Caenorhabditis elegans: one gene and its partners. The protein of the gene in region 2 interacts with the protein of the main gene of each other region in a pairwise test. Each region holds a gene or a part of one and is shown on either strand. Other genes may lie near its edges. The genes, in order: unc-98, vab-3, meg-2 and sorb-1.

Region 1 (5,580 bases), 2.9 Mb from region 2:
GCCTAGTTTTTTCAATGGGGACTCGATATTAATAACGAACACAAGTGCGTGTCCCAAATTGCATTTGCTTTATTGAGTGAGATATCGTGGCTGTGAAGTGGCAAAATATTTCGAGAACCGTTAATTAAACAATTTTATACATTTTTAAATAATGAATTCAAAATGATGCAAAATAAATTTAAAAAAACGTACAACTTCTAGAACAACGAACAATTGAGCTGTCTCGCTATCATCATCTTATCATTTTTGCTATCAAAAAATCGGTTGTGGGTTGTCGTAACACATCACAGAAGAAAGATTGATTGTGAGAGAGCCGGACAACATTTGTGCTAGCGGTCAATGTCTTTCCCGCTTAACATGGTCCCAATTGTACGATTGACCAGGAATCGATATTTCAGGGAAAGAAGAAAATACCAACAAGACATGACGAGAACAGTATTTATAGAGTGTGTCTGAGTGCGTTGGAAACACACGATTTTTGTGCTTTGTAGTCAATTGTAGTTTATGTTGAACACAAAACGAGTTTCTGCTGCTGACCGTCTTTATAACGAGCGTCTTAAAAATGTGAGGAAAAGACAAAATGACAAGAAATGAGAAAACGATAACACTAAAGAAAAACGTTGATTTAGTTGAAAGAAAGAAATATGAGTTATATGAAAGAACCATATCGAATATACATTTTGAAGGACAAATATTGTTAAAGCTAGCCGATGTTGAAATATATATATATTTTACAAGATCTGGATAGATTTAAATACTAAATTAGAAAAATTTTAAATACTCAGGGGTTGCTCAGAATCGCGGAGTCACGTATCCGCTTGTTCTTGGGAATAAATAGTAGCTTCTGGAATCAGTGTACCCAACTCCTTCCCTTCCCATCATATAACGAGATGCTCGAGGATTGAAGTACTTCTCTCCACGATGACTGTACATGTGATATGCAAGACCACGACTGTCAGAGTAGCTTTTCGAACAATATTCACAAATGTATGGTTTTGAACGAACGTCGTTGTACACTCGGAGTGGATGCTTCGGCTCGTATCCTTCAGTAACGAAAGCTGGCTGTGGAAGATCTTGCTCGGAGACCGGTAGGACTCGCTTCTTGCTTACTTTTATTGTGGTTGTCTGAAGTATTTCAAATTATATTGGTAATCTTCATTCTTCTCACAAATGTATTCCTTGTTAAAGTAAAAAAACGGTTTCGGCTTTTTTTCCGTGTGATTTTTAACAAAACCAAACGAACGAAATTTGAAATACTACTTCTCAAAAATTACTTAAAAACTTGTTTATGGGGGTTCAAAATTTTGAAAAGGCAATACCCAAATTTCAGTCAAAAACTCGAGTTGTTTCAATTTTTCCCAGTCACAAAGACTTAGGTAGCAAATTGTGGTAATTTTTGGTCCCTAATTGCTTGAAACGTATCTTCATTAACAAAACAACGTAAGGTAAACGACCAAAACATGTTTTTAAATTTGGAACTTTCTTCGGTTTCATAACTTCTGTTTCATAACGTTTTCTTTTTTTTGCACTGAAATTCCATCTGTTTAACAGTTGTGATGCAAGAAGTAAGTGCAGTCGTATCAAATTGCACCCTCTCACAGGCTATCAGCAATTTTTTTTTGTTGAGAAAAATATTTTTTTTACGTCAGAAAGCCAAGACACACAAAGTTTTTGTTCACAATTTTCTCACATCAAGGACTATGAAAACCAAATACAAAATTGAAAAGCGAATGGCTGGATGAAAAGGTTTTGATAGATTTTGAGTCGAAAGAACTGAAGAATAAAAAATCAAACATTAAAACAGCCATAGCTAGATTCTGTTGATTTTTTTCCGAGAAGTTCGTAATTCAGATTTTGTTTCAAAAAGCTCTACTGATTAGTAAAATCTAGTAAATTTATTATTTCTCAGATTTCTCAATTAGACAAACCTCTGGAGCACCTATCAATTCGAGTGGATCGTCCGTGTGCTTGTGATATAACATTTCCGTGTAAGAAAAGAACGTCCTTCCGCATTCACACTTGTACCCGTCAATTTCTGAGTGCTGAGCGGCATGATATTCCAGTTGGCAAGCAAATTCAAATGAGTCTCCGCATTTTCCACAGACATATGGCTGAAACAAAGAGTTTCTATAAGTAATCCAGCGAATGAAAACCTGTGAAACGTCATGTATTCTCTCGTGTGCACGGAGAGTGTTCATGAAGTTGAATGTGAGTCCGCAGAAACGACACTTGTAGAATACAAATCCGTTGTCATCTTTTTGCACACTAGTTCCGTCCTGACGCACTTCCTGCAATAATCACTTTTCATCGACTAAAAGAGTCTCTTTTTCATTTAACGCCTTCTTCATTCCCTCCCTTCTTCAGTTTTTCCTTCATCTTATATTTTTCTTCCTTTTATTCCCATTTCCCTCATTCTTTCACATTCAAGCTGTCAATGCTCACATCTATATTCCGCACATTTGGTTCGTGTGCTGAAAGTGAGCGCATCAACTTCAACAACAACAGCAAAATGTTTATTCACAAACAAGAGTAAGTCAACAATACCCATGTGAATTAGCTTGGGAAAGGAGAAGAATGGAAATGGATAGGTTGAAGGAAAAAAGCATAAGGAGCAGCAAGAAATTATATTCCAAGTTAGTATTTGAAAATGATAAGAGAAAAATAAAATCACAAACAACAAAAATCATAATTTGTTTTTTTTTCTTCTTAGCATCCTGCTGAGCTTTCTCTTCCAACAAATGTACAGGACATGGTTACTTCGACAATGGGCTAAATTTAAATTAAATTAGAACTGAGTTTGTCTTTGTGTATTCTGGCAAATAAGTTTTTACTAGTATGCTAATTATAAAATTAGAAAATAAAACCTTTTCTAAACTATCTAAAATTCAGCAAAAAATTAACAATTTCTCTCAAACAACTCAAAAAATATAGTTTCATTTTCTCCGGAAATTTTGCCTGTACAAACCTATAGACTACATTCCTAATCAATGTTTTTTTAATTAAAAATTATTCAAAGCACGAACTATTCAACAAAAAATGCACAAAAACACACACTTCATAAAAACAATAAAACAAACCTGTTGATCACTGCCATCCAAAGCACCGCCACTCGATTTTGTTGGAGTTTGAGCACTTGAACTTCCGACCTACAATAATTTACTTGATGCTTTTAAAATCAAATTAGGATGGCGCTGTTTTAAAGTATTTAAGCGTTTTCAGACACTATTCAGATAATTCAACATTTTTTCACTTGTATCCAAGGGTTGAAAAATGTCAGTATGAATCCAATCTTAAAAACATTTAAAAAAATTTGCCTTAAAACCTATCAAACATTTCAATCTCTGAAATTCTTTTTTTTAAATTTTACCAAACTCACATATGCTTCAACTGTTGGGGCAACAACTTTCATGATCTCTTTGGGCTTTTCCTTATTTCCATTTTCTGACGATTCTCCATTGATGCCGAAGGTTTCTAGACCATGAACCATCTGGAAGGTATTTTTTTAATCATTTCGCAATACAGACACCCCCGCGTTTTTCTCCGGTTTTTCCGTCATCTCTCGGTTTCTCTAACTCACTTCATTGTTCTTCACGGACATCTTGGCAAGATCACAGGCATTCATCAACTCTTCGAAGTCATCTCTTTCCTTTCTTGCCTAAAAAATTCAAATTTAAGTAAAGCTCACAGTGATCAAGAACAATACCTCTTTGAAGATGTCGTCATCCATTGTTGTATCTGGATATCAGCGGTTAGTCGTCGGAATGGGGGTGAAAATTGTCAGAGGGTAGAATGCTCGGTGTGGCTAGCTGGGGTGCTCAACACACAGTGTAAACTCAAGAGACTCGTCGCGATCGAAAAATGCGAGAAATCGCCTCTGCAATCTCTGGATCTGATGTGCTCTTTTGAAATGCTCCCGCTCTCTCATTTCCTTTCCTCGTTGGATGTTTTGCGGGACACTTCTGTGTCTGCAGTCTCCCTCAATCTTGCTCAACTGTCTTAAAGAAGAAAGAGATCTTGACGACACAAGTAAAAAAAGCGTCTAGATTGCAGTGCTCGACATAACTTCAAAGCGGAATCATGTTTCTGAAATGAATGGCACAGATGCTAGTGTTTGTGGGTGACATACATTTTGTGTAGTACGTTGAACACGTGCAAATGATTTGGAGATGTGGGTACAAACAAAAGAAAGAGTACTTTTTTTTTGAAATAATAATCGAAAAGGATCAACGAAGTTTATATTTTAGAAATTATTCAATATGAATTGTAAAAATATTAAATTACATACTGTAAAACTATTATTTGAAACTATGCAGGATTATGAAGCTATTGTTTTAAATGTGAAGCATCGGTCAGGGTGATTTTTTGTAATCACTCCTTTATACAGTGATAAATAATCTAAAATAATTTTGCTTTCAAAAAGGTAGTTATCATTCAGTTTTCACAAATCACAATCTTGGAACACGGCAAAAATAGTTTTTTCTACATACAAGTTTCATATTCTAACTATGATTTGATCATTTGTATATACATATATTGTAGACATTTAAAAAAATGCAGAATTGCTCTAATATTTTTCATAGGTTCAACTTATTCTAGTTGTGGCAATTTACCACAACTTTGAATGAAAATTCTCAAGAATCTAAACGGTTATGTGGGACTTTTATGACTTTTAATTGGAATAAACATTTTACTGGAGCTGCACCACCTTCTGGATTGATCGGATCTTTCTTTCATGCATCACAAGCGGGCTAAAAGTGCACCAATGTTGAAATTTTACACAACAAAAATGCATTTAATTGTTAAATTTTTAACAAGTATAAAGTAACCAGACCCTTTTTCATTAAAAAACAGTTTTCCGTATTTCCTCTATTAGTCTTGCAGCCTCTATTAGTCTTGCAGTCTCTAATAGTCTTGCATCCCTCTTTTTTCAAGACCAGTAGTACTTTGCGGAAACGTCAGCAAATTTGATATTTTTGAGAAAATAACCTAGAAAATGATCAAATAATTTATGAAATATTGCAAAAGTATATATTTTTATCGTTCAGCAAGCTATCGAGTTAAGTTTTCAACAAAAAATAGGTCATTTTTTCAAAGATGGGGCATTCGAAAACTAGTCTTGCAGCCTCTAATAGTCTTGCAACCCTACAGACCAATGGAAAATTAGTCTTGCATGCAAGACTAATAGAAGAAATACGGTATATGAAACAGTCTCACTACTCGGGCTAAATATAAAGTTTTAAAAGAGAACAAGCGACTCACTACGAAATTTGTTTTTTTTTTCCAGCACATTTTGAGTCAATACGTTTATACCACGAACCAATAGCCCTACTTTATAAAATCCTCTCTTGTCAGAAAAGCCGGACCTCCTAGATTTCCATACTTACTGTGTACTTGTGGCCTCACAAAAACTTCTTACATAAGTATCTTCCCTTATGGAACAGTAAAACTACATTATTACCGGTTAAACGTTCCCGCCCCGCCTTCGCAGCGTTTATTAGCTTTTTACCCCTTGATAAATTTCAAGGGGTAAAAAGCTAATAAACGAATAAATAAAAATTTAAAAAAACTGGTACATTTTAA
Region 2 (4,809 bases):
TTGTGTTGGAGTTTTTGGTGTTTGACCTTTAGAATATTTATTACAGAGTTTTAATAAATCAAATTGTCTATTGTATGTAGTTTTTTTTTTGGTTTTACATTTACTGATTATTAGATTAAAATTAAATAATTCAATTTTGAAAATTCAGAAAAATAGTTTTGACATCCTCTACTACCTTTTTTTCTCATTTTATCTTTAAAAAATTAATTCAGGGCGATCATTCCCGCCAAATACGGACATGAATCCCATTTGGTTACCAAAAAAGTGCGGCGGCTGTCGTTGAAAATAAAAAAATCCAAAAAGTGGGAAAACGACATCTTCTGTTCACTCATGCGTACAGAATCTCCAAAAACATTTCGCCGTATTCATTTTTGGCGTGATGTACCACATATGACTTGGTCCAGATAAAGGTACTGGTGTAAATTTGTCTGTTGTGTAATCGGCATTTGACGCTAGCTTCTTGCCCAAGTTTGGCAAAAAATTTCAACTTGAATCACAACACGATAAGCTTGGTTTGGACTGTGTTTAAGTTTACGCCAAGTTTGATCCAAATAACAGTTTTTAAATAATATTTTTTTTAATTTTTGGGAAAAACGCAGGTAACGCCAAATGCCAAGTATAATTATTTTTAGACAACCGTCTAAAATTTGGAAAATATATTTTTAATACAAAAAATCTTACTCCGAGATTGATAAATGTGGAAATTTTGTAAACTACGATAAAAAATGCAAATTATTCTTAGTGTGTCAATAAAATTTTTCTATTTACTTTTCACAGTCCCAGTACTTGTTTCCTGCCAGATTTTCTCAAATAGGACTGACACCTGAAGCGGAATAATTTGCTATTTGACTTCCGAGCCCTCGAATTCTGGCGGGCGGTCCAACAAGAAGAACCCTCAATATTCCGTTAGTTATTTGTCGTCTCTGAAGACTTTATTGTCGGATGCAGCGATACCGTAGTCCGAAGAAAAGAATAGAAGAAACTGACAATGAATGGAGAAGTGGAGTAAAGCCAGCTACAAGCAGGGCAGAAAATATAAATGAATAAGTAAAGAAATCAGTTACAGAAAAGTGACATTAAATTTTTTCCACGTATCAAATTATGAAAATTATTCATAGCGAGGTTTTTTAAATGTTTAATTTGCAGTTACACTGCTTGAATCCGAATATCGATGCGGTTGCATTAATATTTATGTATAAGGAATCATCAAAAATAAAAGCAGTAGCTGATTAAAACTTATTTTTAAATCAGATATGTGGTGCATCTCCTTTTCAGAAACCAAGTAGTTTTGTTCGATCTGTTAAATTCTGTTAATCACAATGGTTCAGAATGTCTGTAAACATGCTTAGAAAACTAATGAGGTCGGTGGAGCAGAAAGTCTGTGAAAACTTCTAATTGGAATCAGGTGCTGGCAGTGAAATCACAAAATATCTTGGTCTGTACACCGGGCAAGAGCATGCCTACACCCCGCGAGTTTGGCATGGCTAATCCCTTGTTTGACAGATGTTCAGGGGGAAGGAGCTACCACTGAATAGTTTCCACGTGAGTAGAAATTGATTCATGTTCATAACATTGATGGCAATGTATTCGAGAAACAATGCCCATCTGCCACAAGTTGCAAAAGGTAGATTGTGAATAAAGCTGCGCATAATCCATAGAGAATATGAATGAAAACTCCGCCCATTTCAAAGAAGACGATTGGCCCGAGAATAGAAGCAAAAAGTCAGCGGTGTCCTAGGTGAGACAACGGAGAAAACGTGTCCGGGCGCGGCTCTTTTCAATTGTGGACCGAGAGGGAGAGACGTCGACGTCTTCTTTTTATGTCACACTATATCGTTGAAATAGTTTCGCGCTTTTTTGTTCTGTCCCCCGAAAGTTTGTTGGACAGTTAGATACTGAGGATCTCTTATTCTAACACTTCCAATATCTACACTTACACTAAATTTTACGCTACACAACACCAAAATCCGCGAGTATTCAAATAGTGACGGTCGAGTTGACAAAAGTGAACGTGGTGAGTTAAACTCTTGTTGGGTAATGAGTTAGCAGAAAATCAATAAGATGGCGAGCACTTTCAGATGGGCGTGCTAATGAGGTGGGCATGGGCTAGAAGTAAGAACTACCCTTCTTCGTCGGCATATATTTTCTCATTTCAGTCTGTTGCCTTTCTGCTGATTATCATTAGACTTTCTTGTTGAGTAGATAAATTTTGATGCCTCATTGACAATCATAAATAATAGAGAAACAATCGATATTGTCATAATGATAACAAACTAAGTAGGAATAATGTAGAACTGGTTATATTTTGAATAATTTCAAAACTCTTTGGTCTTTAGGCTAAATATAGAAACCGAGTCCTTCTCGAAACATTGATGTCGTGGGCTGCTATCATGTGTCTCCTATGACTTCAAACTTTTCTGAAATTACGTTACCTAATTTTTTTGAGCTTTCATGTTGTATCACAAAAATTTTTCATTCTGCTATAATTTTTCACAGATAATTGTTTGGTTCTAAATTCTGGGCAAAGTTTCAGAATATATTTTGAACTTTAGAACTGAATTCTTGAGCATTTCTGATTTAAAAAATCTTTTTGAACTTTTGCTACAACTTCTTTTCTCTACCATAAAATGTTTTCAATCTTGTTCGATGCTTCTACAAAAACTCCAACATCAGGAGCCATGCTTTCTCCTCCCACTTATGTTATTCATTGTGTATGTACATCCGCATGTGTCCATCATTGACTCCAAATTCCATTAGCCATCTACCGTATCTGGATTTCCGGTGTGTGACGCCGACTCCATGGCCAACACAGAATCATCGTAATTCTCCCCGCAATCTACATATCGCTACTCCAATTTTCGAATTTTGCCCCGTGTTGCAATTCCAATGCATTCAATCAAATTTAAAAGTTTTGATGATTTGTCTACTCATTTTTCCCACCCGTTCCGTTTTCTCCATGTTCAACATTTTTGTCGCCACCACCATCACTGAGAGGGGTTTTTGTAATTGGCTTGAATTGACACCCATTAACCGGCACACCCGCTGTTTGGAAGATGTCATAACGAAAACGTCGTTTGATGGAGGTCTTTGTCCGCGCCTTGTTTCCCTGTCCCTATAGTTGAAGGTGTTCGCCATCAGGCACCACTACTTTTTTGGCGCCCCTCTCTTTTTCTCTCTCGTCAGTGTCAAACGAGTAGTTGAAAATTGTGCTATTCCAAATTACATGGAGCCCCACTCCTCTGACCCGAAAGCCTTTCCATCAAATTTCGTTTTAGTAGATCTTTTTAACTTGTCATTATGCTCCTTTGGATAAACGATTTGGCTCACAGGCAAAGCATTTTCAACTGTGGGGACATTCCGGAAACACTTAGCCAATTGATAATGACAGTCCATCGATGAGTTATAAGATATGTTATCAGATGTACAAATCTGACACCCATACAACAGTCCTCACCTCGCTCTCGTCGTCATTCAGTTGCCAAAATCGTCATGCCTACTTCCAATTATGCAACTTTATCTTACGGGAAAATCTAATAACTTTTGCATTTCAGCTATGGCACACATGTTCAAGACATATTTTTAAAAAGTGAAAAGGTTGTCGGGAATATATAAAGATAAGGTATTGAAACTTTGGAAGCCCACGTTGAGACACTGTAAATAAACATTCACATTCACAATTTTTATCGTAGTCACTAATGTCTTGTTCCTTTAAAAAACATTTTCAATTTGCGGATTACAGAGGAACTAACTTCAAAAATTAAAAAAAAATCATTGAAAACGTTTTCTAGAATTACTTTTATTGAGTTAGAAAAGTAGAATCATGCGCAAAGTTTTTAAATTGATGTGCAAGAAAAAATTATCTTTAAGCCTAAAAAGCAAAATCCAATTTACGACACTTCCAAACGACAGTAAAAATTTTAAAAATTCAAAACTTCTCTTTTTATTTTTATCCGCAATCTTTGAATCACCAAGACCACTATTATGAGCAACTTCAAACAAAAAAGTTTATGAGTTCAGATGTAGTTCGAGATACTGAGTCATGAGCCTTCTCCTTTTCGTTCTCAAGATTTTGATCTCCTCAAACCGAGCTGGGTCCATTTCTACAGCATTGTTCTATTCTTTTGTCAAATTGGCTTTTTTAACCCTTTCTTACCTGCCGAGGCCTTCTTTGTTACCTTCCGATCACCACATCTCGACGGTCCTCCCCTCTTTATCTTACTTGCTGCTAATTACGTGTTCTCGTCAGTCGGCTCCAGGCCCGGATTAACTTTGACTACAAAACATATGTCGTTTGTGTTGTCTCGCTGCTGCATCAATTCTGGGTCAATAATTTGTGATTAGCTACCACCTCCGGTCTAATTAAGGGCTCCACAGGTTGAGGCAGCTCACCTTCTGTTGTTCTTGTTTGGTAATACCAAAGCATCTATGTAGTTAGACTTTTGTAAAAGATTATGAATCAGTGAATCAGTACTTGCAGACAACTGAAAAAGAGTACATGCTTACTTTGACGTTAATGGAACTTCTAGAAGTATCAGATAATGTATTAGAAAATAGGTACCTGATTATCATATGGGCCAGTGACTCGGAGACGAGTGATAAAGTATCACATGTAACTGAGCATGTAGTACATGTACCCTAGAAATCCCACCTTCCATCTCACCTTTTTCGGGTCTTACTTCTGTTATTCTTTTTTAGTTTCCATAATTCACTCAAAACCGCTCATTACCATTACCACATTACTACTTCTCCGCTATATGCATTTGATATTAGACACCAACTATTGTGACCGGTGTCTTCAGTCTTTTCCCG
Region 3 (5,866 bases), 3.4 Mb from region 2:
TTTTCATAAGCTGTTGTTTTTACACTTTCAAACATGAAACAGTTTTCTCAAAATCATGTTATAAGTTACTATCGAAGATCTATCTTTTGCCAATTACCAACATGTAAACTTTCAAAACTCACATTTAATTCATTCGAAAAGATAATCCTTTGGGCTTCAAAGTTTCTTTATTCTCGTTACAAAGATTCTGAGCAAAATAGCAAAACCCGGTTCCCTTACAGAATTAAGCTATGCGGCGTTAAAAATGACAGTTTCCTGCATAAAAATTTTAATTACTGGAATAAAATAGTACCTTATTTCCCCAAGCCTGTCTCAGAAATTTTGTTCGGAAAACGTCTCGGTCAACTTTTTGTTGACAATGTTTTACCCTCTTCCCCCCCTCATACTTAGTCACCGGACTCTTGCGGGTCCAAATGATTATTTTATATCTAGTTATTCATTCCTTTTTCCTTCACTTCACTGCTTTGTCGTAATTGTGTCATTGTGATTGTTGCCTGATGAATAAATATAAATAAATAAATAAAAATAATTGTATGCATTAAAATAAACAACAATAAAAACGACCGGTGAGGTTATACTTGACAGTGGCTAGGAACCCGAAAAAAATTGAGACTGAGCACTATGAGATACAAGTACAATACAAGATGGGCTGCTTGTTGAAAAAAAAATCACAGGAAAAAACTAGAAGTCGTAAAATTGGTTAGTATGGTAAGAAGAAATGGTATGGTAAAAAAGTGGGTAATAAGGCTGTTATTGGTAGGCGAGCCATTGATCAAAATTAACTGCTGAGAAGTTCCTGTTATGAGATACAAGTACGATACAAGTTGGGCTGCTTGTTGAAAAAAATCACAGAAAAACAACTAGAAATGGTAAAATTGGAAAGAAATGATATGGTACAAAATTGGGTCGTAAGATTGATGTTTGTAGTTGAGCCAATAGTCAAAATTAGTTGCTGGGAGGATCCTTGTCACTGAAATTATAAAGATGTGATATTTAACTATTTTTCCCGCTTACCTCTGATTGTCTGATTTCGGTGAATCAGCCTGGTTCAGATCATCTTCGGGATGATCTATATCGTTGCGACGAGAAGCTTCTCCTTCTGCTTGGCGTGGGAAAGATTGGGCCAGCAAGTCGCTCAATGCGTTGACATTGGCACTGAAAATTATAATTGGTACTTTTTTTATTGGAATACTTTGATGTGCTCGGCTCAGATAAAGAATTAATTGGTACGCGTGTATTATAACCAAACTTTTTTTTAATGCAGCGAGTGCCAAAAAATGCCGAGGCATCGGACTGGATTCCTGTGTGTACCTGGCATCATCTGCTCCTTCGACCGTCGCTGACACTGTTTGATTCTGCACATCCGCCGAGCCTGAGGCTCTGGCGTTTGAGCTGTTGAGAGCAGCAGACCTGGCATTCAAGTTAATAATGGATTGGAGGAAGTTGATGTTCGCTCCGCGATACTGCATTTGCACCATCGTCCGCCAGTAGTCGTAAAGCATCGCCTTTAGTGTTATTGAGAACTTTAGCACTGGAGTCTCACCTAAAATTATTTGAAATCAAAGAATACACATTTTTCCACCTACTGGTTGATGTGCCTGAATCATAATTTGGATCAACTCCAGGAAGTAGGTCGTTGTACAATCGCCTTGCAAATTGCTCAAACTCCAGAGTGTTCAAAAATTCTTCCTCTTGCCTTATCAGATCAGGCAAATGAGGTGCAGGACGTGATGAGCTTTGTTGAACTGGGAACTGTTGATTCCCGGAGCCGTGATTCATAGATGAGTTGGAGGGACCTGCTGTGGAACTTGTTTCAACTTGAGCAATTCCATGAGCCATCAAGAAGCTTTCCTGCAGACTGGGCAACTGAGGTGCAGGGCGTGATGAGCTCTGTCCCATTCGGAACTGTTGATTCCCGGAGCCGTGATTCATAGATGAGTTGGAGGGACCTGCTGTGGAACTTGTTTGAATTTGAGAGAGTCCATGAGCCATCAAGAAGCTTTCCGGCAGATTGGGCAACTGAGGTGCAGGGCGTGATGAGCTTTGTTGAACTGGGAACTGTTGATTCCCGGAGCCGTGATTTATGGAGGAATTGGAGGGACCTGCTGGGGACCTTGTTTCAACTTGACCAATTCCATGAGCCATCAGGAAGCTTTCCGGCAGATTGGGCAACTGAGGTGCAGGGCCTGATGAGCTGTGGTTCATTCGATTCCCGGAGCCGTGATTCATTGCATTGAAAAGACCTGACAGAGAACTCGTTGGAATTTGAGAGTTTGCATGAGCCATCAGGAAATTTTCCGGAAGAGCAGGCAATTGAGGTGCAGAACCTGATGAGCTCTGTCCCATTTGGAACTGTTGATTCCCGGAGCCGTGATTTATAGATGAATTGAATAGACCTGACAGAGAACTCGTTGGAACTTGAGCGTTTGCAGGAGGCATCTGGAAGGTACGATCTCTCGAACGGTTATCCATGTTCATTGCTCGAGTATCTGCATTTTGATTATTTGGCCACAAACCCATGTGTGGAGGAGCTTGAAAGCCGGCATTTGGAAAACCGTATGGCATATTTGAAGTCGGATATCTTCGTGCATGAGCCCTCTGAGCAAGTTCATAATCGTACATGTCTACAAGCCTGGGAACTCCGTGAAGCCTGGGAACACCGTTAGACAAAGGTCTTGGTACGAAATTCATTGGAACGTGGGAATCGCCTTGAGCCATCTGATTACCCATGTTCATTGCTCGAGTATCGGAACTCTGACCATTGACCTCAGGACCAATGTCTGGAGCTTGACCGCCCGTATTTTGTAGACCGTTTGCATTATTTGGAGCCGAATGTCCTTGTATTTGAACCAATCGTGAAGATCTATTGTCTGCCTCTCTTTGGTAATTATATTGCAACCGGAAAATTGGAGCATGTTCTGTTCGTGATTGCGATGACATGGTGGAAGAAGATTCAGAGCGATTTCGATTTCTTGTATCCTGAATCACTGGCTCTTGGAGGCTCGTATTATTGCTCGTTCTCCCATCTCCAATGCTGCCAAATTGATTTTTGACGCGATGTGTGGCCCGGGATGATCTCCGTTGGACAGTCCGGCTTTCGCCTTGAAACGAATTATCAGAAAAACTGTATTCGCGCCACTGATCTACGGATGGTAGATTGATGGAAACGTTACTCCGGTCACCTGCATACTCATCGCGATCAACACCTGAAACAATTTAGCTTATTAATATATGAAGTGCCAAAGAATAAATGAAGTTGTACTTATGTTTCCGATAAATGTTTCATATAAAAAATAAATAGAAATTGGAACCTTATCAATTTGTTATGTTTTGATAACTTATTTTCATTCAATTATTACCCGGTACTTCAGTAAGAAATAAAGAGAGAAAATTTCATACAACATGAATATATGATTCTCCCGACTGTTGAAGTAATGCACTGTGAACGTAGATAATTTTCTAATCAAAGTTTAGATTTGAGGCTCACCTGGAACCTGGTTCTGATGTGAGGGCGCCTGTCCTCCTTGAGACTCGTCTCTCGATTCATATGTCTGTCCACGCCGAGTTGTTGATCGTGGCGGAAAATTGCTTGCATTCCTGTTGTCCGTTTCCTGTGCAATTGTACCACTTTGGTTAGTTCTACTTTGTGTGGACGCGGATGAATCGGATTGAACGGTTGGATCATCGGCAAGAGACGTGTTTCCAGAGAAGCACAGCCAAAAATTCTCCAAATTATTTGAGCCATTGTACATGTCTGTCCAATAAAGTTGCTGCTGGTTGTGAACTGCACCTGTAACAAACCGGTTTAATAAATATAGTGAATCTAAATTTATTTTTTTTTACCTCCAATACTACGCATGTTGGTCGAAGAAACTGATTCATCACGATTCCCGACTCTCGCTCTTTCTTGGGACTGTTCGCGACGGTGATCTCCGGGTGGTGGGAGATTCTCATCCGATGAAAGATCATCACAATTTTCCATTGCCGCGCAACAAATGGAAACCTAAAAATTGAAAAATTGTAGAAAAATGTTAAGAAAAAAGAAAAAAAAGAGATTTCGCAACAACTGCAGATGAAACAGAGAGCGGACCACTGTCCACGTGTAATGGAACGAAGACTGAATGGAGTGCCTCGGAAGGAAAAGTGAGAGGGAAGAGACGCAGCAAGTGCGTGACGGAACTGTGACGATGGATATGATGAAAACAGTGCACACGCGAATTATTGATTTTACCATTGTAAACTGGAACAGATAAAAATGGAACGGTTCTTATTTATGCATGATTTTTTTCTTTGAATTTGAAAACCTAAGTTAGCTGTGAAAGGGCGAATGTGATCGTTTGAAATTTCTCAGAAACCTTATGAAATTCTGGCGTTTGAGAGTTTAAAGTATGCAGAAATTAGAGTTGTAGGGATTTCAAGAAAAAATTGCATAGTTCAGAGTTTCTCAAAATAAAATTCTCTGAAGTCTTATTGGTGTGCAATTTTCTGCTGTTGAACTATTTAAAACAGTGCTGGCCAATACTCGCTTTCAATTTTTCGGCGACTATTTAGACTTTTCCAATAAGTATGCTCCAAAAGCTATACGTTTCAGCAAGAAACTTTTAACTAAAAAAGTGATCCACACGTTTTTATCTACTTAACCTAGTTAAATACGAGCATTCGTTGATCAAATGAGGTCTTAGGTTGATCACTTGAAAAATATAAAAATGCACCGAATCAAGCCACATCATAATTGAACTTTACAAGTTTGTCCTACCATTAAACCTGAACTCGTTTTCTCAATATCTTCATCATGTGAAAAACGGTATGACTTTTAAAATAAACCAAAATAATTCAATGGGTATTTGTTTTTGAAAGATATATGTTTGGATTAGTAATTTCCAGTTTTTACAACAAATTTCAAACATTTAGAACAAAATATTTTTATCGAAATAAACAACAATAGTCGGTGAAATTGTACTGGACAGTGACTGGAAAACCGGTAAGACTGAAACTGAGCACTATGAGATACAAGTACAATACAAGATGGTTGAAGAAAATCACAGGAAAAAGAATTTCTAATCGTGAAATTGGTTAGTGTGGTAGAAATAGAGAGTGTTATGGTACAAAATTGGGTAATAAGATTGATGTTGGCAGGCGAGCCAAAAGTCAAAATTAGTTGCTGGGAGGTTTCTACTATGAGATACAAATACAGCACAAGATGGGTTGATGGTTGATGAAAATCACAGGAAAATATAATTTGTAATTGTGAAATTGGTTAGTATGGTAAAAATAGAATTGTTATGGTACAAAATGGCAGCACAGTAAGTGTGTTCTTGTAGGCGAACCAATTGTCCAACGTCTCATTCATTGCTTGGCAATTCCTTGTCACTGAAAAAAAAATTGCTTGTTATTTATATAAGTTCACAAGTCTCACCTTTGCTTGTCCGATTCTTGTGGCTCAGCTTGTTTCAAATCACTTTCAGAATGAACATTCTTGGTGCAATCAGGAGCTTCGTCATCTTGTTGGTGGAGGAAGGATTGAGACATGTAGCCTTTCACAGAGCTGGCAATATCACTGAAAAGAAATAATAGTACATCGGAATTCGTTTATTATGGTTAACATACCTTGAAGTGCTTGGCTCAGGCGAAAAGTTGATCTTTTCATCAAGCATACGAACAAAATTATCCATGTCCATTGTGCTTCGCTTTTTGATGCCACTGTATCTAATCATCTTCTCAAAGGATGGTGTTTTGGGCTTAGTTGAAGCTGCTGGAACTGGCCCGGCATGACTTTGTGAAGAATCCAAATTCTCATCAAGTGTCTCCAAGGTATTATCAAGACTGGCAGCGGGACGAATGTACATGGATCGGCTTTTGGATGGCT
Region 4 (4,960 bases), on a different chromosome or scaffold from region 2:
GTGCAATTTTCATTACATATGTTCCACGAAAACATCAACTCACCTATCATTTTTGAATCCTTGTTCTTTATAAGACGGAGTTGATGTCATCGGCGATCGATTTTGCTTCTCCTCAAAGCTGGCTCCAAAAAATAAATTGCTCGGCGATTGACTCGCCAAGTTGGGTGATGACTTGGAAAGGTCAATTGCCACTGGTTTATGCTTCCTTCGAATAGTTCCATAATGATCCGTCGAGCTTGTAGAGTAGGGAGCCGGGGATTTTGATTTTACGAGAAGTTGGGAACTTTCCAAATCGATAGATCTCTTGATTTCACTCTCTTTTTCTGGAGAAAATGGTGGAAAATTTGTTGGTTCAAATTGTTTAGCAACAGGAGCCACGTGGCCAAACGGTGTGAGTTCTGAATTGAATATTGAGCTTGATGGAGGCTGAGGCTCAGGTTGTTGATTCTGCTGATTATTTCCATTTTTCAAATTTTCAGTCGATGACGTCATCACTTTTTCAGACAAAGATACACACGGTGTCTCACTTCCCTCTTTCAATTCATTTTTCTCTTCCATTAACTTTTTCCTATATTGCTCATAGAGATGCCGTTGCTCGGCTGCCGCAGAAAATCCAGCAATTTCTGAAGATTCTCCAAATGTCGAGATACACGAGGAAATAATTGATGCACTGTCATCAATGTCGAATTCTCCGAGGTGATGACGTGGATCGAGCGCCACGTCATACGGGATTCGGTAGGACGTTTTTTGAGATTGCTGGGGTTGAGAGGGGGCTTTGGAGCTCTGTAGGACCTGAGCCTGAAGGGCTTGAGCAGCAGAGTGTGGAGGCTTTGTGGAAGGAGGCACTGGTGGTTTCGACTCATTGTGCTTTACTTGACTGTAACTGGCCGGTGGAACCTGGAAGTTGCAAAAAATAATTCTGCTGTTTCAACTTCATAACATAATGCGAAGATGTTAATAGAGTCGGTCTTTCAAATTTCCCCGCTTCGAATTTCAAGTAACTGATTTTGGCATTCCGTTTGCAAGAAATTGGAGGTATCAACACCGAATTGAATAAAACTTTATAATTTTATTGATTTTCCTGGTTAGAATCAGTTCTGCGCGGAAAATCTTTTCAGCAAATGTACAAACCTACGTATTTTAGTTTGGTGATTATATTTTTTTTGTATCAAAAATCATTACAGAAATGTAGGACAAGGTTTGTTCTATGAGTTCTATCTGATAATGATATTTATTTTTTCTGCAAAGTTCGAAAATTATCTCAAATAGTGCCTGAGTTAGGGTTTGCCGTGAAACTTTTTCAGCAAATGACAACTTTCAGACACTATTTGACCCAATTTTCATAGAAAATTGAAAAAAAAAAAATAGAAACCACAATTTTTTCTGTTTCAGGAATTTTATGTCATGACAATAGAACAAGCGAAAAATGTTTATTGGTTTCAATCTTCAGTGTGTCGCAACAAGTCTAAGTAAGAGAATAAGCACTAAATTTTTTAGAACAACATGAAATGTCTTGGCGATTTTTCAGGTCATTTGCATTTGCAAGTTTTAAAAAGTACTCAAAACATTTTTCCTATAAGTTTTCCTATCACAAAAAAATAGTAATGTAGTTTTCATAGACAACACGAAAAAGTATTTTCATTGTTTTAAATTTTTGCAAATCTTCAAACTGTACACAAAATTTTAACGTTTTTTAAAACAATTTTGCGTAAATTTTTATCTACATAAGGATTTTTCATAAACTTCCCGGAATGTACAATTTTCAAAATAGAACTGAAAAGTTGTGTTTTCGGAAAATTAAAAAGAAAGTTCTACTGTTTCGTGAAAGCCATTTAGGACATTTACAATTTTCCGGTTTGATCTGATCGGTTTGTTCTTTTTTAACTTAAAAACTGTTAAATTTTTGAAATTTCGTATATAGAAGCTATTATTACTTGTGAATTGTATTTCTGAAAAGTAGAAAACTTCAAAACTCAAAATAATTTTGCTCATATTTTACAATTTTTAGTGAAGCTTTAGTCGATAATAATTTCTAGAAAAAAACTCACGTGTTTCACTCATAGCTTGTAAAAAAAGCCAAAAAGAAAATAATATCAGTAAAAAATGGTCAGTAATAACTAAATTTAACTATTTCAGCACATTGTTTTCAGTTTGAAAAGTTCGTTGCTTTATTGTATCGCTGTTTTTTTCAAAATAAAACTCACTCCTTGAAAATATTTATTTGGATTGACAGGACCATCAAGTACTCTTCCCATATTATGCTTGTTAAGATGTGGATCCACATATCCATTTGGTTCGTATACTTTTACATTTTTGGCCCAGGAAGGAGTTGAGTCTGGAATTTATTATTTTATTGAACATCAAAACATTTGGATTTTTTGAATATTGCTGGTTAGGAGAGACATCAGGAGTTGTTTTCCGCAAAATCAGAAAAAATTATACAAAAAAAACAGTTTTAGATAGTTTATAAGACTACTTCAAAACTTTATTGTTACTGTTTGCAGCATTCGGACAGAAACCAAAATATCTTACTATTAATAGAAAAAATGACAAAAATCTAATTGCAAAATTGCTGCTTCATCTTCCAGGTCCGTCGAGGTACCAGGTCTCAGCCAATCGTGTATTTGTTGACTATCTTGTTGACTAACATTTTTTACAGTTTCAAGGAATTCATATGAGCTATGTGTTACTTTCCGAAAACTATTATTTCGTAGCTTAATACATAGAACGCCTAGAAAAACAAAACTCACCAACAGGCGGAGGCGCTGGTTTCTGATATCTGGAACTATTTCCAGTTGGTGTCTTCATATCCAACTGCCCATGTATCACATTTCTCAACGCCGCCACATTTCCCTTCGGTGAGAATTTATCAGAATCTTCAAAGGTGTCAAAGTTGTAGGCATCTGCTGCAGGATTTAGATATTGACCAGATGGCTGTTGTGGTTCTGATGAGTTCTGGAAATTAATTAGGGATTGTGGAGTAGATTAATTGAAAGCTCTTACCGCCAGGTTTGACCCGAATGGATGAGGATGATGCATCATTCCTGGAATATGGGAGTTTGAAGAATTGTATAACAAAATAAAGGAAAGAATAAATGAAAAATGTGAAATACGGAAGACTAATATGTTCTGTCAGAAATGGGATTTTTTTTTGAAATTTGTACTGTAACAGTTTTTATAGTTCTCGAACTTTACCCAATCTGACAATAATTGCAGATTCATGGGATGTACACTATTCAAGAATATTTTCCATTTTCCAGAAAACTTCAGACATCTTGAAAATTTGTTTTAATTTTCAAAATATTTTCTCACTAGATTTTTAAATTCTATAAAGATTTTGAACCCAATTTCCAACTAAATTTGACATTTAGGAGCGCCAGTAGAATGCATTTTTGGAATTATAAGGATGGTACTTAAATGACCATATTGTCAATTTTTGTTTTGACTGTTTCATTTAAGTGTTAAAGCTCCCACAATGGATTCACGTTCAATTGACGCAATCCTTAAAATCATAATTTTTGTTGAAATGTTAATGCTTGTGTTAAAGTTATTGTTTTTAAAGTTTTGAACACCTTTTGAGACTTGAATGAGAATGTATCTAGTTTTTAAAAATAGCTTCCAAGACCGGGTAAAATGTGCACGGCAATCACAATTTTGCCATTGCTGGAATTGAAAAATGCTAATTTTTGTTTTCTTAAAATAGAAAAGACACTTGTAATTTTTTAATTTTAAAAATGAAAATAACATTCTGGAACAAGTGTTTAAATTTTATACTGTTTCTTTGAAATGGTAAAGCTTTTACAACATTTTCAAATCTATTCCACCTTTGTCCATGAGTATGTAAGACGTACAACTTTTGAAAAATGTTGTCTGGTCACTTGAGCAGTTTTTTCAAGAATAGTAAAACTTTTAGGTTAAAAATTTTTTATAACAGGGAAAAGGCCACATTTCATCTATCAGAATTTGGGGTTCGACCCAAAAAATTATTTCTACGATTTTTTACACTTTCATTAAGTTTAAATAATTAGAACTCAATGATTGTAGGAGTTGCAAAATCAGTTATGTATTTCACTGAAAACTAAAATTATTGAAAATTAAAATAATAAAAATTACCGTTTCACAGTTGTAATAGTTAACAAGCCCGAAACAGTACTAGGTTTTACGAAAAGTTGTTATTTTGAAATACGACAAAAAAACCAAAATAAGAAAAATTTTATCAGTAAATCGAGTGATATTATTGTTGCGAGAGCCACACTTAGAGAAACTAAGAATGTCCCTCATTGCGTCTTCTGTCCCCGGGACACGAAACAGAATCACATTCTCTCAGTGTCTGCGTCTCTCTATCTTTTTGCTCACTATATACATGACTTTACACACTTTTCGTCTTTCTTCTTTCAATTTTTGTTAAGCAATTGCCGGATGGACCTGCTGAAGAGAAAGAGAATGAGAGGAGAGAAGATGGAACTGCTCTCAAGTGACCAGACAAACTTTTTCATCACTATGATCATGATCATCACACCTTTGATTTAGTACTCTTTTGGCCAGAAGTAACCGTTGTATTTAAAAAAAGGTGGAGCGCAAGCTTATTAGTTTCAAAGGAAGAACAGAAACTTTAACACTTCATAGAAACAGTTAAAATTTGCAAAAAATTTGTTCAAAAAAATTATAGTTTTTTGCCGTTCGCATCACAATTTGCCATCGAAGAATAAACCTAGGAGACTAATTGTGCTTAAAAATAGTTTTTTTATTAGTTACCAAATCTATAAAAATGAGTATTTTCAGAATATGAAAAACATCAAACTATTTTTTAAAAATACAAAAAAGTCTGCCAGTCGACACAAATAAATACGGAATATAATTATAATTCAAAGCTACGAAAAAAATTGTTTATACAGTTTCAAGAAGAAGTTTTGAACAAGTTTATTTTCTTGGTCTACTAAAAAATTGGGGTAAATTTTCA

Evidence for each region.
Region 1: the proteins of vab-3 (region 2) and unc-98 interact in a two-hybrid assay, tested with the Caenorhabditis elegans proteins (2 studies listed by BioGRID).
Region 3: the proteins of vab-3 (region 2) and meg-2 interact in a two-hybrid assay, tested with the Caenorhabditis elegans proteins (2 studies listed by BioGRID).
Region 4: the proteins of vab-3 (region 2) and sorb-1 interact in binary tests that used the Caenorhabditis elegans proteins (3 or more experiments, as listed by UniProt).

The regions. Positions count from the first base shown.
Region 1 is NC_003284.9:7,569,848-7,575,427, forward strand, and holds unc-98 (Zinc finger protein unc-98), read right to left. Parts: upstream 3,743-5,580; 5' UTR 3,728-3,742; coding exon 3,704-3,727; intron 3,656-3,703; coding exon 3,578-3,655; intron 3,488-3,577; coding exon 3,377-3,487; intron 3,147-3,376; coding exon 3,078-3,146; intron 2,530-3,077; coding exon of another isoform or gene 2,510-2,529; intron 2,289-2,509; coding exon 2,154-2,288; intron 2,112-2,153; coding exon 1,929-2,111; intron 1,126-1,928; coding exon 793-1,125; 3' UTR 527-792; downstream 1-526. Other genes in the region: pcyt-1 (Putative choline-phosphate cytidylyltransferase), read left to right, coding at 2,510-2,529. UniProt on the Caenorhabditis elegans protein: Probable transcription factor required for muscle structure.
Region 2 is NC_003284.9:10,498,092-10,502,900, forward strand, and holds the start of vab-3 (Paired box protein 6 homolog), read left to right. Parts: upstream 1-1,798; 5' UTR 1,799-2,014; intron 2,015-2,146; exon of another isoform or gene 2,147-2,202; intron 2,203-2,996; exon of another isoform or gene 2,997-3,103; intron 3,104-4,038; exon of another isoform or gene 4,039-4,144; intron 4,145-4,479; exon of another isoform or gene 4,480-4,620; intron 4,621-4,809.
Region 3 is NC_003284.9:13,922,127-13,927,992, forward strand, and holds meg-2 (Protein meg-2), read right to left. Parts: upstream 4,004-5,866; 5' UTR 3,983-4,003; coding exon 3,844-3,982; intron 3,791-3,843; coding exon 3,488-3,790; intron 3,207-3,487; coding exon 1,587-3,206; intron 1,544-1,586; coding exon 1,312-1,543; intron 1,156-1,311; coding exon 1,015-1,155; intron 971-1,014; coding exon 946-970; 3' UTR 517-945; downstream 1-516. Other genes in the region: Protein meg-1, read right to left, coding at 5,343-5,370, 5,417-5,557, 5,608-5,866.
Region 4 is NC_003282.8:13,748,418-13,753,377, reverse strand, and holds the start of sorb-1 (SH3 domain-containing protein), read right to left. Parts: upstream 3,046-4,960; 5' UTR 3,043-3,045; coding exon 3,004-3,042; intron 2,956-3,003; coding exon 2,751-2,955; intron 2,726-2,750; exon of another isoform or gene 2,705-2,725; intron 2,520-2,704; exon of another isoform or gene 2,496-2,519; intron 2,336-2,495; coding exon 2,205-2,335; intron 2,194-2,204; exon of another isoform or gene 2,173-2,193; intron 2,119-2,172; exon of another isoform or gene 2,095-2,118; intron 1,882-2,094; exon of another isoform or gene 1,861-1,881; intron 1,623-1,860; exon of another isoform or gene 1,602-1,622; intron 1,589-1,601; exon of another isoform or gene 1,568-1,588; intron 1,452-1,567; exon of another isoform or gene 1,431-1,451; intron 989-1,430; exon of another isoform or gene 968-988; intron 898-967; coding exon 44-897; intron 28-43; exon of another isoform or gene 7-27; intron 1-6. UniProt on the Caenorhabditis elegans protein: Required for organization of sarcomeres in body wall muscles and for maintaining normal mitochondrial position in myocytes.